Mus musculus: one gene and its partner. The protein of the gene in region 1 interacts with the protein of each later gene in a pairwise test. Links are inferred from orthologs where the notes say so. Each region holds a gene or a part of one and is shown on either strand. Other genes may lie near its edges.

What was found.
Region 2: the proteins of Sumo1 (region 1) and Tnfrsf1a interact in a two-hybrid assay, tested with the Homo sapiens proteins (2 studies listed by BioGRID). The link is inferred for Mus musculus from reciprocal best matches to the Homo sapiens genes SUMO1 and TNFRSF1A.

The regions. Positions count from the first base shown.
Region 1 is NC_000067.6:59,667,070-59,673,807, forward strand, and holds the start of Sumo1 (small ubiquitin-related modifier 1), read right to left. Parts: upstream 3,766-6,738; 5' UTR 3,623-3,765; coding exon 3,611-3,622; intron 1-3,610. UniProt on the Homo sapiens protein: Ubiquitin-like protein that can be covalently attached to proteins as a monomer or a lysine-linked polymer.
Region 2 is NC_000072.6:125,347,835-125,354,554, forward strand, and holds the start of Tnfrsf1a (tumor necrosis factor receptor superfamily member 1A precursor), read left to right. Parts: upstream 1-1,888; 5' UTR 1,889-2,189; coding exon 2,190-2,228; intron 2,229-6,720.

The DNA of each region.
Region 1 (6,738 bases):
AAAAATTAGAAAAATACTTATGTAAGGAATATTATGTGTTATAACAGAGCTAATATAACTAACTATATAGGAGTATCACAATTTGAAAAATGGTTTACTTGCAGAGTGTGGTGGTATATACCTTTAATCCCAGGAGTCAGAGACCATCCTGGTCTACATAATAGGAAGTTCCAGAATAGTCAGGGTTAGAGATCCTGTCTCAAAAAGAAGTTTTACAGTTTTGAATTTCCAACTACTCAACTGTGAATACTCTAAGCAGAATTATCCTACTGTTTCAACATATTATAAAATAGTTGTTATAATTGAACTGCTTCATTATAATGGGTTTGCAATATTCACTAGCAATATCTCAATCAAGATGACCAAATATAGCCGGGCGTGGTGGTGCATGCCTTTAATCCCAGCACTGGGGAGGCAGAAGAAGCAGGTGAATTTCTGAGTTTGAGGCCAGCCTGGTCTACAAAGTGAGTTCCAGGACCGCCAGGGCTATACAGAGAAACCCTGTCTCAAAAAAAAAAAAAAAAAAAAAAAAAAAGACCAAATATATAACACTCCTCTCCTAGAATACTTAAGGCATTCAACACAAACTAGACAGTAAACTGCTTTAGTTTAATATGTTCTATAATATGAATGATAAACATTTTAATATACAACCATTTATTTTCCTGCAAACTCAAGCTGTTACCAAGACCAGCAGAAATTAATAACAAGCTATAAAGAACACTGTAAAAACTAATGCTATCACAGCAGCAAAAATACAAGTCATGTAGAAGACTAACAATAACTTCAACTTCTTTTTAACTCCTATTTAGAAATGAGGTAGGTCTTTCCATGAATCTGGGGTGACCTTTGGGATTTGACTAATATAGGACCCACTTTCAGCACTGACGGCTCTACAGAGGTCCTGAGTTCTAATTCCAGCAACCACATGGTGGCTCATACCCCTCTGTAATGAAATCTGATGTCTTCTTCTGTTGTGTCTGAACACAGCTACAATGTACTCATATATACAATAAATTAAAAAAAATAAAAACCTATCAACTGAGCCATGGTGGTATATACATTCTGGGAGTAAGAGGCCGGCAGATCTGAGGACAAGCTGATCTATAGAGCAAGTTCCAGGACAACTAAGGCTACAGAGAAACCCTTAACTTGAATCAATAAATAACCCCTAAAAAACGTTAGCATACATTTTTATTACTTTTTTTAAAGACAAAATTTCTAAGAGTAGCAGCACTATTTCATATGCAAATTGCTTTAATGTGTAGCTCAATTAAAAAGACTTGTTTTGCCAGGTGTGGTGGTAGACATCTTTAATCCCAGCACTCAGGAGATAGACACAGAAGAAACTGTGAGAAGCTGTAAGGCTACAAAAAAGATTTGCTCCATTTTTCTGTCATGTTTCTTAAAAACTTCACTGAATATCCATGAATGAGAAAAACAGACACACACACATACATACACACACACCATCTAGGCGTGACAGTATAACTCTGTAATCCCAGCTACTCTGCAAGGCTGAGAGAAGTCCAGGTTCAAGTTCAAAGGCAAGCTGTGCTACAGTCCAACCTAGGCAACTTAGTGAAACAAAGTAAAAGAAAAAATGAGGCTGTAGCACTTGCCTGGCAAGCACATGTGGGAGGCCCTAGGTCCAACACCTAATAACCCCGGTGACCAGTGAGGTGAGTGCTACAGCAAGCAACAGTGTGACTTTGCGATCCCCTGAAACCCTGTGTGTGCCCTTGGGTCCTCCTTTCTTTCTCCATATCCTTATATAATGTGAGTTCAAACTAGAGCAAAACTAATCCTAAAACTTAGAACTCTTTCTGTGTGTTGCCCTCTCTTCAGGCTAACATGCTTTCTAGCTCTTCCAAAATAGAAGGCTGATGAAACTTAAGCATTAACCCAAAAAAAAAAGAAAAAAAAAAAAAAAAAAAAGAAAGAAAGAAAAGAAAAAACAAAGGCCAGGCGTGGTGGCAACGCCTTTAATCCCAGCACTTGGGAGGTAGTGGGGGATTTCTGAGTTCAAGGCCAGCCTGGTCTACAGAGTTCCAGGACTTAAGCATTTACAGCTGATCTTTCTGAGCTGGTAACTAAGTAAACAACTGTCATAAACAAATTATTCATAAAGTCATTTCTATCCCAAAAGAGGATTAATTCAGATTATTAATAAGTAAATCCATGCCACAATTAGTCTACAGTGTAGATAGGCTATAAAAATAGAACCACCCTGGCCAGTCTGTGGTGGCACAAGCCTTTTATCCCAGCACTCAGGAGACAGAAACAGGCCGATCTCTATAAATTGGAGGCCAGCCTGGTCTACAGAGTGTTCCTAGAAAGCCAAGGCTACACAGAAAATCCGTGTCTCAAACAACAACAACAAATTTTTTTTTTAAAAAAGTCCAACTACATTGTGAAGTTGAATGAAAAAGTTTACTGAATAATTATCACAAAAGAAGAAAAAGTTAAAAAAAAAATACTCTGAAAATTAAGTCATCTGAGCAAACCAAAGCAAAGTCAGACCAAAACCTTATGTATATAAAAACTAGCCACAAAGGTAGTAACTAAAATAGGATGAAGAAAAATTTAGGTGGCAAGGAGTCACTCCTATTTGAAGGCAAATACCATGCAAATCCTTGATTCCAAAACCGAGACACACTGTTTTACTACTAATTGACAGCTTTCTGCAAATATTCTGCAATTGTACAACACGGATAACTTTTTTTTTCTCTATTTCTTCGAAAATTAGTTCAGAAACTTCTGGAAGAGAGGTTTGGGGGTGCATATAATCTAAATGCGTCATCTGATTATCAAAGAACAAAAAACGTGCTATATTTTTTTTTAAAGTGCCAAGCATCTGCTGGTTAAAGCCCAGACGAAATGGCTTGTTGGTGGTGGCACTCCATACACAGTTTGCTGTTTCTCGGTTATTCTGAGCGCTCTGAGAACTGGAGAGTTGATGGACCAATCCCGAGTAAGAAATGGAAAGTACAGCGAAAGAGCGGACCGTTCCGCACCCCCGGAAGGAAAAAAAAAAAAAAAAGACTGAGGTGTGCAGAGATGGACGGACCCTCCAGGCAAACACAACGGAAAAGCAGCGTCCTCTGGGCTCCCAGTCACCTCAGACACGGCTCCCCGGCCGCCCCCCACTCTCCGGGACCAAGAACCCAAAGTGGAGTCGAGCTGCTTTTCAGGGCCACCTAGCCTCCCAGTCGGGGATTTCCCTCCCGTTACATAACTGGGCCTAGGGCCTGGTTTCTGCCATCCGTCGTCCGAAGGGAAACGGTCGTTTTCCCCTCAGCTTGCTCTCGGGGACAAGGGAGCGGGCCTGGGCCCCCTGCGAGCCCGCGAGAAACCTGGGCGCCGTCGAGAGAGCCCCGGCGCCGGGTGGCGCGGGGGTAGGGGCCTCGGAGAGGGGCGCGGAGGGCGCGTGGAACCCAGAGCCCCGGGGTCCCAGGCGGCCTGGCCCGACTCCGCCAGGCGCCCCGCGTCCCTCGCGGCCCCCTCCCCACGGGCAGCCCCCTTCTCCAGCCGCCCCCTCCCCCGCGCCTCAGTCCAGGGCCCCAGCCCGCGGCCGACGGCCCTGAGCCCTAAGGCCCCGGCCCGGTACCTGGTCAGACATGGTGACGTGGATTCACCCGGGGGTCTCCGCACCACTGCGGCCTCCGGCAGGCAGAACCTCACTCTGAGGTTTACAAATCCGTCCCTTCTCTACAGCACAACACCGCGGCTGCAGGGACTTCCTCTACGTCTTGCGTCACTTCCGCTGCGCGCAGAGGCGAGTTAGCGAAGACGGGAAAAGGAAGCGGGAAAACGCCGTAAGGAAGGCCGGGGGCTAAAATCCTCCAGGTTGTAAACTACTTGCCTGGAGCAAGAGAACTGCTAGGACTTCGGAGGGAGGGAGAATCAGGCCCGCTGCCGCAGCCCTCAGGGAGACCAGCGCTTTGCCTGCAGGCCGAATGTCTGGGGTCAAACTGACTGCTTAGGCTCCTCCCGGTGGGACGACTTGCGCGCTTCTGAGGCCCGGACCAACCCTCACTGAATATAGTGAATTACCCGTATAGTATTTTTATAGGCCCCTCATGCTTGCTGTTGCCACATTCGTGACTCCGGGTGATAGAGGCAGAGGCTACCGGATCTCTGTGAGTTCGTGGCCATCTTCATCTACAAAGTGAGTTCCAGGACAGGACATAGAACCCTGTTGGGGGCGGGGGAGATGAGGGGGCACAAAAAGACGACCCTTCAGGACACATCTTTTGTTCTTGTGTTTTGAGGCAGGGTCTCACTAATAGCCTTGGCTATTATAGAACATTGCAATGTCAACCAGACTGGCCTCCAACTCGTAGAGATCCTCTTGCCTCTGCCTCCCAAGTGCCACCACACCCCCAGCTAGAACAAAGTCTTGGTGGCTACAGACAACTAAAATGCTACTGAAAGTTTTGAAGTTGTAGGCAGGAGCGCCTTCCAACGCATAAACTAGTTGCCTTGTGTCATAGAAAGACCTAAACTGCTTCCTTTGAATACAGTGACCTTGCACAAGCATTCAAGGAGGATTAAGGTTATAATAAGTAAAGGGGGAAAAATGAAAACTTAAATCAAAAACCCTTCACAGAACAAGACATTAGTAAAATAATCTTTTCTGTAAATAGTAATGAGCCAACTATAAATGACCCAGTAGTCAAAGAGCACTGGCTACTCTTCCAGAGGACTCAAGTCTGAGTCCCAGCACCCATGCATGCATTCAAAACTGCCTGTAACTCTAGTCCCAAGAATCAGATACTTTTTTCAGCACCAAGCCAAAGCCTGAATGCGGTTCATAAACACATTCAGACAAAAACACCCATACAAAATTAAAAATTAGTAGGTACAATATAATTACTAATGAAAATACTGAACATTCACATGCGAAAGGAGAAAGAATTTAAATCCCTATTTCACTGCATATACAAAATTAAAATGTTTCAACGGTGTTTATGTAAGACTGTTTTAGGGTTTTTTTTTTAAGATTTATTTATTTATTTTATGTATATGAGTACACTGTAGATGTTGCAGATGGTTGCAAGCCTTCATGTGGTTGTTGGGAATTGAATTTAGGATCTCTGCTTGCTCCAGTCAGCTCCGCTCACTCCAGTCAACCCTGCTCTCTCAGTCCCTGCTCACTCTGACTCAAAGACTTATTTATTATTATTTGTAAGTACACTGTAGCTGTCTTCAAATGCTCCAGAATAGGGTATTAGATCTCATTACAGATGGTTGTGAGCTGCCATGTGGTTGCTGGGATTTGAACTCAGGACCTTCGGAAGAGCAGTCAGTGCTCTTACCCACTGAGCCATCTCACCAGCCCTGTTTTAGGTTTTTTTATTGCTGGAAAGAAACACGATGTGCCTTTGCACATTGAGGAGGAAAGAGATTATTTGGCTTACAGGACAGGAACTCAAGCATGTGGGAACCTGGAGGCAGGAGCTGGTGCAGAGGCCATGGAGGGTGCTGCTTACTGGTTTACTCCTCAGCCAGCTTTCTTTTGGAACCCAGGACTACCAGCCTTGTATGGTATCACTCACAATGGGCTGAGCCTCACCCATTGATCACTAATTGAGAAAAAAAGCTGGATCTCATCAAGATATTTCCTCAATTATGACTCCTTCCTCTCTGATGACTCGAGATTGTGTCGAATTGACACACAAAACCAGCCAGCACAATGTATGTAAGTATGATTAGAATATATATGTAATATTCATATATACACATGTATCACACATAATTATAATATATACATATGATATGTACATATGTAATATATACATACACACACACATATTTAATGTTTTTCAAGACAGGGTTTCTCTATATAATAGCCCTGATTGTCCTGGAACTCACTTTGTAGACTAGGCTGGCCTTGAACTCACAGAGATCCACCTGCCTCTGCTTTTTAAGTGCTGGAATTAAAGGGGTGCAACACTATACCTGGCCAGAAAATAATATATTTCAAAAGAAAGATTATTCTTTGAGTATGATCCACAGAGTCATCTAAGGTGTAATGTCAGGGAAGCAATTGGTTATGGTGCTGAGTACTAAGAGAAAATAGGCTTGATATTAGAGATCTGGGCTCTTTCATTCTGGCCTGTGGCACTGGCAAGATGGCCAAGTGGGATAGTGGCCTTTGTACTGCCAAAGCTCCACAGTCATGGACAGGACCTGAGTGGCTAGCTAAACAATACCAAAAGCCTGTCTGGGCACAGCCCTGAAGGGTGCCCCTTTGGAGGCGCTTCTCATGTGAAGAGGATTCTACTGGACAAAGTAGAAGTTGAAGCCAAAGAGCCTAATTCAGCCATGAGGAAGTATGTCAGGGTCCAGCTGATCAGGAACAGCAAGATGGTCTCAGCTTTTGTGTCCAGTGAGGAAAACAGTTATGTTCTAGTTGCTGGCGTTGGTCAGAGAGGTTCAGAGAGGTTATGCAGTTGGTGATATTCCTGGATTCTGCTTTGAGAGTATTAAAGTAACCAATGTGTCTCTTTTGGCCGTGTACAAAAGCAAGAAGGAAAGACCAAGACTGTAAGTTTTTATAATAGAAACACAGTAGTAACAAGTTTTCATATTCTAAGAAAGAGAAAGAGATTTGGAAGCCACTGGCATATCAGGGTGAATGAAGTTAACATTGACTGAGTGACAGCTCCTCCTTACTGAATTACTGAATTTACTGCTTTGCTGAATGACAGATGTACATTGCTGTAACACGCA
Region 2 (6,720 bases), on another chromosome or scaffold:
CCGAGTTTTATGGAGCATGCTAGTACCCTGTTGTCTCAAAGCTTCAAAGGTGCTAAGAAAAATCAGCGTTTATCCTAAGCCCTGAAGGAAAGTCCCCTTTTGTTCCAACTTCTAAGTAATAATGGCTTTGGCAGTTTGCACAGATAGACCATTAAAAGTTCCTTGTAATATTAAGCATGGGACCTTGAAGAGTTGTTAATTATTATTTTCAAATTATTGATATTGTAGGATTCTTAACATGTGGCAAACACTTCTAATATTAATATGAATCTTACCACCAAACTAGCCTTGAGAAATGTGCTAGTGTGTTTTGTGTCTATTTGTGTGTGTGTGTGTGTATGTGTGTGTGTGTGTGTGTGTGTGTGTGTGCTGGGGATAAACTTAAGGCCTCATCTATGCTGGGGAAGCCCCACCTCCACCCCCGACCACATACCCACACACACCATTTCTTTTTCCTGGCTTGCTCCCATTGAAAACTGGCCAGTCTGATAGAGGGGGGTGAGCTTCCAGCAGCAGGGACACCTCCAGCTGGTCTTCCGCTCTGCCTTCAGGGTCACAGAGGAGAGGAGACAGCAGGGTTAGGATACTGGAGGTTGGAAGTCAGGGTAGCTCACAGGGAGAAGGGCCAGGAGCTCTGGTTCCAAGTCCCCAAGCCCTATGCCCCTATTCCTGGGTTTTCCCTCCAAGTCTCAAAGTCTCAGCTGCTTTTAAAGGACCGCAGGTTGGTTGAACTGGCATGCATAAAGAAGGTCATTGAGTCTCAAGGGCACTCGAGTGAATAGTGTCCGGGTGTTACAGGGTTCCATTGCACTGAAGACCTGCCCAAATGGGGATGGCAGGAGGCAGCCATCCCTAGTAAGGGATGCTATCAGAAGGTAAGGTCTTACTCAAAAGGACAGAGAGAACTGTGGGCCTTGCAGTAGGAGCTCGGCTGGCATCCTGATTCTCCGAGATCAGCCTCCCAGTGTGCAGAGTCCCGTGGCTTTTTCCTCACCCCTAAAGCTACAGACTGTGGTATAACTATCTTTGAGGTCAGTCCCAACGGATGCATCAGGATATCTAGAGCTGGGTGTGGTGGTGCACACCTGTAGTCTCAGCAGGTAGGAGGTGGGAGGATGAGAAGTACAAGGCCAGCCTCAGCTAGACAGTGAGTTTGAGGCCAGCCGGCTTGGGCTAAATGAAACCCTATTTCACACAGGTTGGAAAGGGGGCCCTGGGAGCCCTTTACAGAAGCCTGAATTCTCATGGCTTCTCTTTGCTATGTCAGGGCAGGCACTTTTCACTCCAAATTAACAACTGGGGAGACAACCAAGGCTTAGGAGAGGGTGCTGCCTGACACCCCCTCACCCGTGCCCCACCGTTGGTGACCGAGCCATGGTGGGCAGCTGAGGGACTTGTCTGGAAGACACAGATGAGAGTCAGTGGGAGTGACCTTGGGTCAGGACCCAGGCAGGGTAGAAAAGAACATTTGATTTCCCTCCCGGTTTGGGCTGACTGGGTAAACGTCCAAGAAAGTGCGATTAGAGGGAACTCAGAGGGAGGGAGAGCGCGAAGCAAAGGAGTTCTCGGCGGGCGAGCATCAGATATTGCCCTCCCCCTAATAACTCCCGCCTGCCGTCCCGTGAGATAGGTGGGCTGGCTTCCTTCCGTGAAATTGACAACAGGCTTAGAGGGGTTAGTCCACCGGTCTAAGCTCACCCACTTCAAAAGCAAAGGAGTCCGAACTGGAATTCTGTGGACTCTCAAGCTCTTAAGTGGTGTTAAGTGGGTTTGGGGCGCCAAGCTACGGGACCCGGGCTACAAAGCGTTAAAGAACCTTGGCCCTCTCCTCACTCCTCCTAGTTCCCTCCCTCCTCCTCCCTCGCCTCTCCCCAGGCTCTTCCGGTCCCGCTCTTGCAACACCACCCCCGCCACTCTCCCTTCCCCTCCTACCTTCTCTCTCCCCTCAGCTTAAATTTTCTCCGAGTTTTCCGAACTCTGGCTCATGATCGGGCCTACTGGGTGCGAGGTCCTGGAGGACCGTACCCTGATCTCTATCTGCCTCTGACTTTCAGCTTCTCGAACTCGAGGCCCAGGCTGCCATCGCCCGGGCCACCTGGTCCGATCATCTTACTTCATTCACGAGCGTTGTCAATTGCTGCCCTGTCCCCAGCCCCAATGGGGGAGTGAGAGGCCACTGCCGGCCGGACATGGGTCTCCCCACCGTGCCTGGCCTGCTGCTGTCACTGGTGAGATGGGAGACTGGAGGGGAGGGTGGGTTGCTAGCGAGGCGCCGGGCAGGAGTGGGCTTGTACTAGGGGTAGAGATGGGGGCAGGGGCTTCTGTGCTTTAGTTTGACGCCAGGTTTGCTGTGCCTCACCTGGGGCTGCCCTGAGATGTGGAAGGGAGAAATCTGAGAGGGAGAGAATCTGGCAAGCCAAGCTGGCAAGCCTGGGCCCCTGACAGTCAAGGTCCTGGCCCGTGTTGGGCTGTGGTCAGGCCAGCTGCTCGGCCAGTGGAGTTAGACGGAGAAGCCTTCTTTCTCTGGCCGAGGTTGAACAGCGTGGGGCAGGGTGTTGGAAGACTGGGTGCTAGGAGAACCGCTTTGGCGGGACGAGTTTGGGAAAGCGTGCTTGGGAGTGGACCCGAAACTGGACAAAGCTGGGCAGCCTTCCGGTCCCAGACTTCTCCCTGAGACAGCCTCTGACCTTCTGCCGCCTCCATTTCTGCTTCCAGACAAGAGGTCCCTCCTGGCGTGACCCTCCTTAAGTAGCTAATACCTCTTTATCTAGGCCATGTATCCTCCTGCTCCCTCCCCACAGACCCAAAAGTCAGTCTCACGGTTTCCAATTCCACAGTTCCAATTGGGGAAGTTGGTAGCAGCTTGTTTTCGTCACTGGAAAATGTACTTTTCTCTGGCCTCGGCCTAGTGTTCATGTTCTCTTGATTTCTGTGTGTCCATAATTATTCTGTGTAGATCCTGGGGGCTCCCTGGCTGTCTGGGTGGGCTGTACCATCGGCGCAGTGTTCTCTGGGTCCTGCCTCTCCCTGGCCCAGCGTTATCCCTGAGACCTGCCTTTTTCTCCCTCCCCTTTCACTCCTCATTCTCTTCTGGTCAGTCTCCAGAGCCTCCTTGCGGGGGTGGGGTGGGGGGGTGGGGGTGGCTCCTTTGTGTCTATTCCCTTCCCTTTCTCTACACACCATTCTAAAGCAGTGGTCCTAGAACCCTGCCTGGGTGTCACCTCCCTTCTCCTGGTCCTGTCCTGTCTCCCAGTCTCTCCTGGGAGACTTGTCAAGGCTGCCCCTCTGGCTGTTCTCCAACTCCCCCACCCACTTAATTCTTTTCTCTTTAGGGGTAGATCACCTGGATTTAGGGCTCAGCCCAGCACCCTTACCCTCATGAACGCAGGCATGTGATGTGACTCCCCCGCTTTTTGTTTCTTTTATTTCCAAAATGTCTACAATGATCAGTACCTCATAGTTGTTATTAAGATTGAGTAGATGGATTTGTGTTAAATATTTATTCATTTCCTTCCCTGCTAGGTCCAATTCAGATTAGGTGAATGATCCCAAAGGGGAGTAAGAAGTATGCCACAAACAGAAAGGACTCAGCTTGGCTTCTCTCTTCTCATCTCTAGCAGTGATACTCGTCACTACTCACGTCACTACTCATTGTGACGGTAGATGTCACAATAACTGTCAGAGTGCAGTGGCCCAGCTAGGTAGAGGAGAGAGGCTGAGCCAGTTGTGGAGGCCCAGGTGAGGGTGGGGGCACCGTGAACAGAAGCAGATCCTGAAGACAAGGCACACGGAAGGCTACTGAAGTCTACATGGGGCTGGCCACTGCCTTATCAGTACAGAGCACAGTGCCTGTGAGGTGTTCAGGTAGGACGAGGTGCTGAGGTCATGAGGCAGTGATGGCCGTGGCAGGGATGTGGCAAGGCCAAGAAGACTTTGCTATTTTTAAAAAGTTTCAGTACAGGAGTGGAAATGACTTTAGAATACTCTGGAGGAAAAGACGTTCCAAGGCCTTGGTGATGTACTATCCCAGAGGCAGAACTGGGGGAGGAGGGTGGGCTATATGCCAACTGTCTTCTTGCTTAATGGCCTTTGCCTGTCTGCTGGGCTGAGCTTGCCTGCATAGACCCTAAGGCTCATAGTGTGTTATCATCTTTGGCTCATGGAGAGCTCTTGAAACTGTGAGCTATGTCCCATCCCCAGCACCTATCCAGGCCCTGAAAAAGAAACCTTGACCGTTGACTAATGGCTTAATCAATTCAGGAACAAGAGATTGGTCAGATGGGAACAAGGCGGGTGTTGCATAGAAAGGAGGACTTGGAACTGGTGTGCAGAAGCCAGGAGGAGGAAGAACAGAGGAGTTGGGCGCCTGGGTTGGGGGAATGGAGAGGTGGGACTTTGAAGTCACAGAAGCTGAACATCTCAGCTCGGGGTGGAGTGGCCATGTTGAGAAATGTGACAGAGAGAGAAGGGCACTCTGGCGTTTGTGAAAAAGAACCTTGAGCCAGTCACCTTGGGGCATGCCTGTTATCCTGGAACTTGGGAGATGGAGGCCAGTGCTCAGATCGAGGCCCAGTTTTGGCTATATAGGGAGCTGGAGGCCAGCCTGGATGACTGAGACTGTGTCTTAAAAACACCAAAAAGAAATAAAGAGTCATGCTTAAGGACCTAGGTGGGGGCCTGTTTTCCTCTTTCCCTCCCTCTCTCCCTCCCTTCCTCCCTCCCTCCCTCCCTCCTCCCTCCCCTTCCTCCTTTGCTATCCACCAAGCAGTCTGGCCAGACTGTGTTCCAAAGAACAGTGAGTTTCTCAGATGTATGTGCTCATGGAAGGATTTATCCATGGAAATGATGTTTGAAGCCAGGCCCTGGAGGTGCAGAGGAAGATTCACACCCAGGTGGTACAAGTTGAAGCCTGAATGTAGATAAGAAACTATGTAGGTAGCCTCAGCCCCTGCAAAGGTTTGAGGCAGGCACATCACTTGAACCAGAAGGTTCGTGGCAGCCTGAGCCACATAGTGAAGCCCTGAGACACCACTGTGGAGTAGGAAGGAGAAAGGCAGTTGTAAAAACCAGGGCTCCGGGTGTGGGGTAAAGGGTGGAGAGGTTCCAGAAGGACTGACTGATGAGTCTTAGGGCTGTTGCAGAGTTTGCAGCATTGGTACCAAGAAGTCGGTGGTGTGACATCTAGGCAAGGAGCTTGGTGAGCTCAGCTGGGGGCAGGTTAAAGTAGGTCACTGGCTGGCTAAGTGGAAGTGTGGTTGTGCTGTCTGGAGCAGCCCTTCTCAGCCTTTCTTCCAGCTAATTCCAGCTGCATGGCTCGTCAGCTGGACTCTGCAGGAGATGAGCAAATGTGGCAGAATTGTCACCAGGGACATGTGCACGAGTGTGCCCGTGTGTGGGGAAGGGGATGCACAGCTTCTAAAATACCTCCCAGAGGCAGAGTGTGTTTGAGGCAGGGGGATGCTGCTTCCTTCCATCCGGCTCCCTGACTGGAAGGCACCTCAGTCCCTCAGGTCTGCAGGCCTGGCTCTGGGTGATGTGACCAAGACATGCTCTGATCTCTTAACTCAGAGGGTTTGTGGTCTGTCTGGGGAGATTGTATCTACTCATTTGAAATAACTATAGCTTCTGATAAGAGCCCAGAGTAGATATGGATAGTTCGTGTTATTCAACCAGAACAGGCGGCTAGGTATCCGAGGAGCTTGGGTGGGGAGACATGAATCATCGACGGGGGGCTTCGTGGGTGGAAGGTAGGATTGCGGCAGCGTGGCAGCGCTCTCTGAGGAGGTCACACCGAAGAGCTCCTCACCACCGTAGGTCTTGACATTAAGTGGAACACAGTTTAACCTAATGTGCACGCTGATGTGGGGCTTAGTGAGTGGGTCCCCAAAAGGTGGCTGGGTCAAGTTTGACCACAGGGTCCATTTCATCTTCGCTCCCCTACTCAGCAGCCCCGGCACAGGAAGTCACACTTTAAGGCCTCTCTAGGCGGAAGCTGAGGAGTAGTTAGAGAGGCCTTGCCACCTCCTCAGCCATCTCTCCTCTCCTCAGGCACCCCCCAGCATCCTGCCCCTCCTCTGCTCCAGGCATTCAAGTTTGGGCCAGGACCTGTGTCCCTTGTCCCTTGTTGGCCTCACAATGCAACTGGTAATAGGGTGCCTATTGAAAGAGCCAGAGGGCCCTGGAATCCCTGGAGCATGTGAGATGAGAGAGCTGGCTCTGCACCTGCTCCTTCTCTTTTGTTACCTTGTTTTTGTTGAGAGTAGACCTGGCTGTCCTAGAACTCACATTGTAGAGCAGGCTGGCCTTGAACCCAGGGATCTGCCTGCCTCCACCTCTCAGAGTGCCTGGATTAATGTCTAGCTTCCTCCATCTCTTCTAACCTTAAGAGGGCTGTGATTTTTGTTCCATAGCTACTTGACCTGGGGAGAACTGGCCCTGTCTCTTAAAGGTTGTCTAGGGAGCATCCAAACCCAATGCAAGTGGCCAGAACCAGGCAGGCTATGGGAATGTGGTGAACTAGGGCGGGAGGGCACCCTGGATTTGATTCTTGTTGGGATTGGGGAGTGTCAGGGGCTGCCAAAGGCCCAGGGAGCCAGGGAGCAGGGATCCTGGGAAAGGCTTTATCAGCTGAAGACGATGTTGTTTCCCTTTGAGGAGGGATCAAGGCAGCTCCAAGTCCAAAGGAAGGATGTCAGAGATGGAGGAGGTAGATCCTCTGGG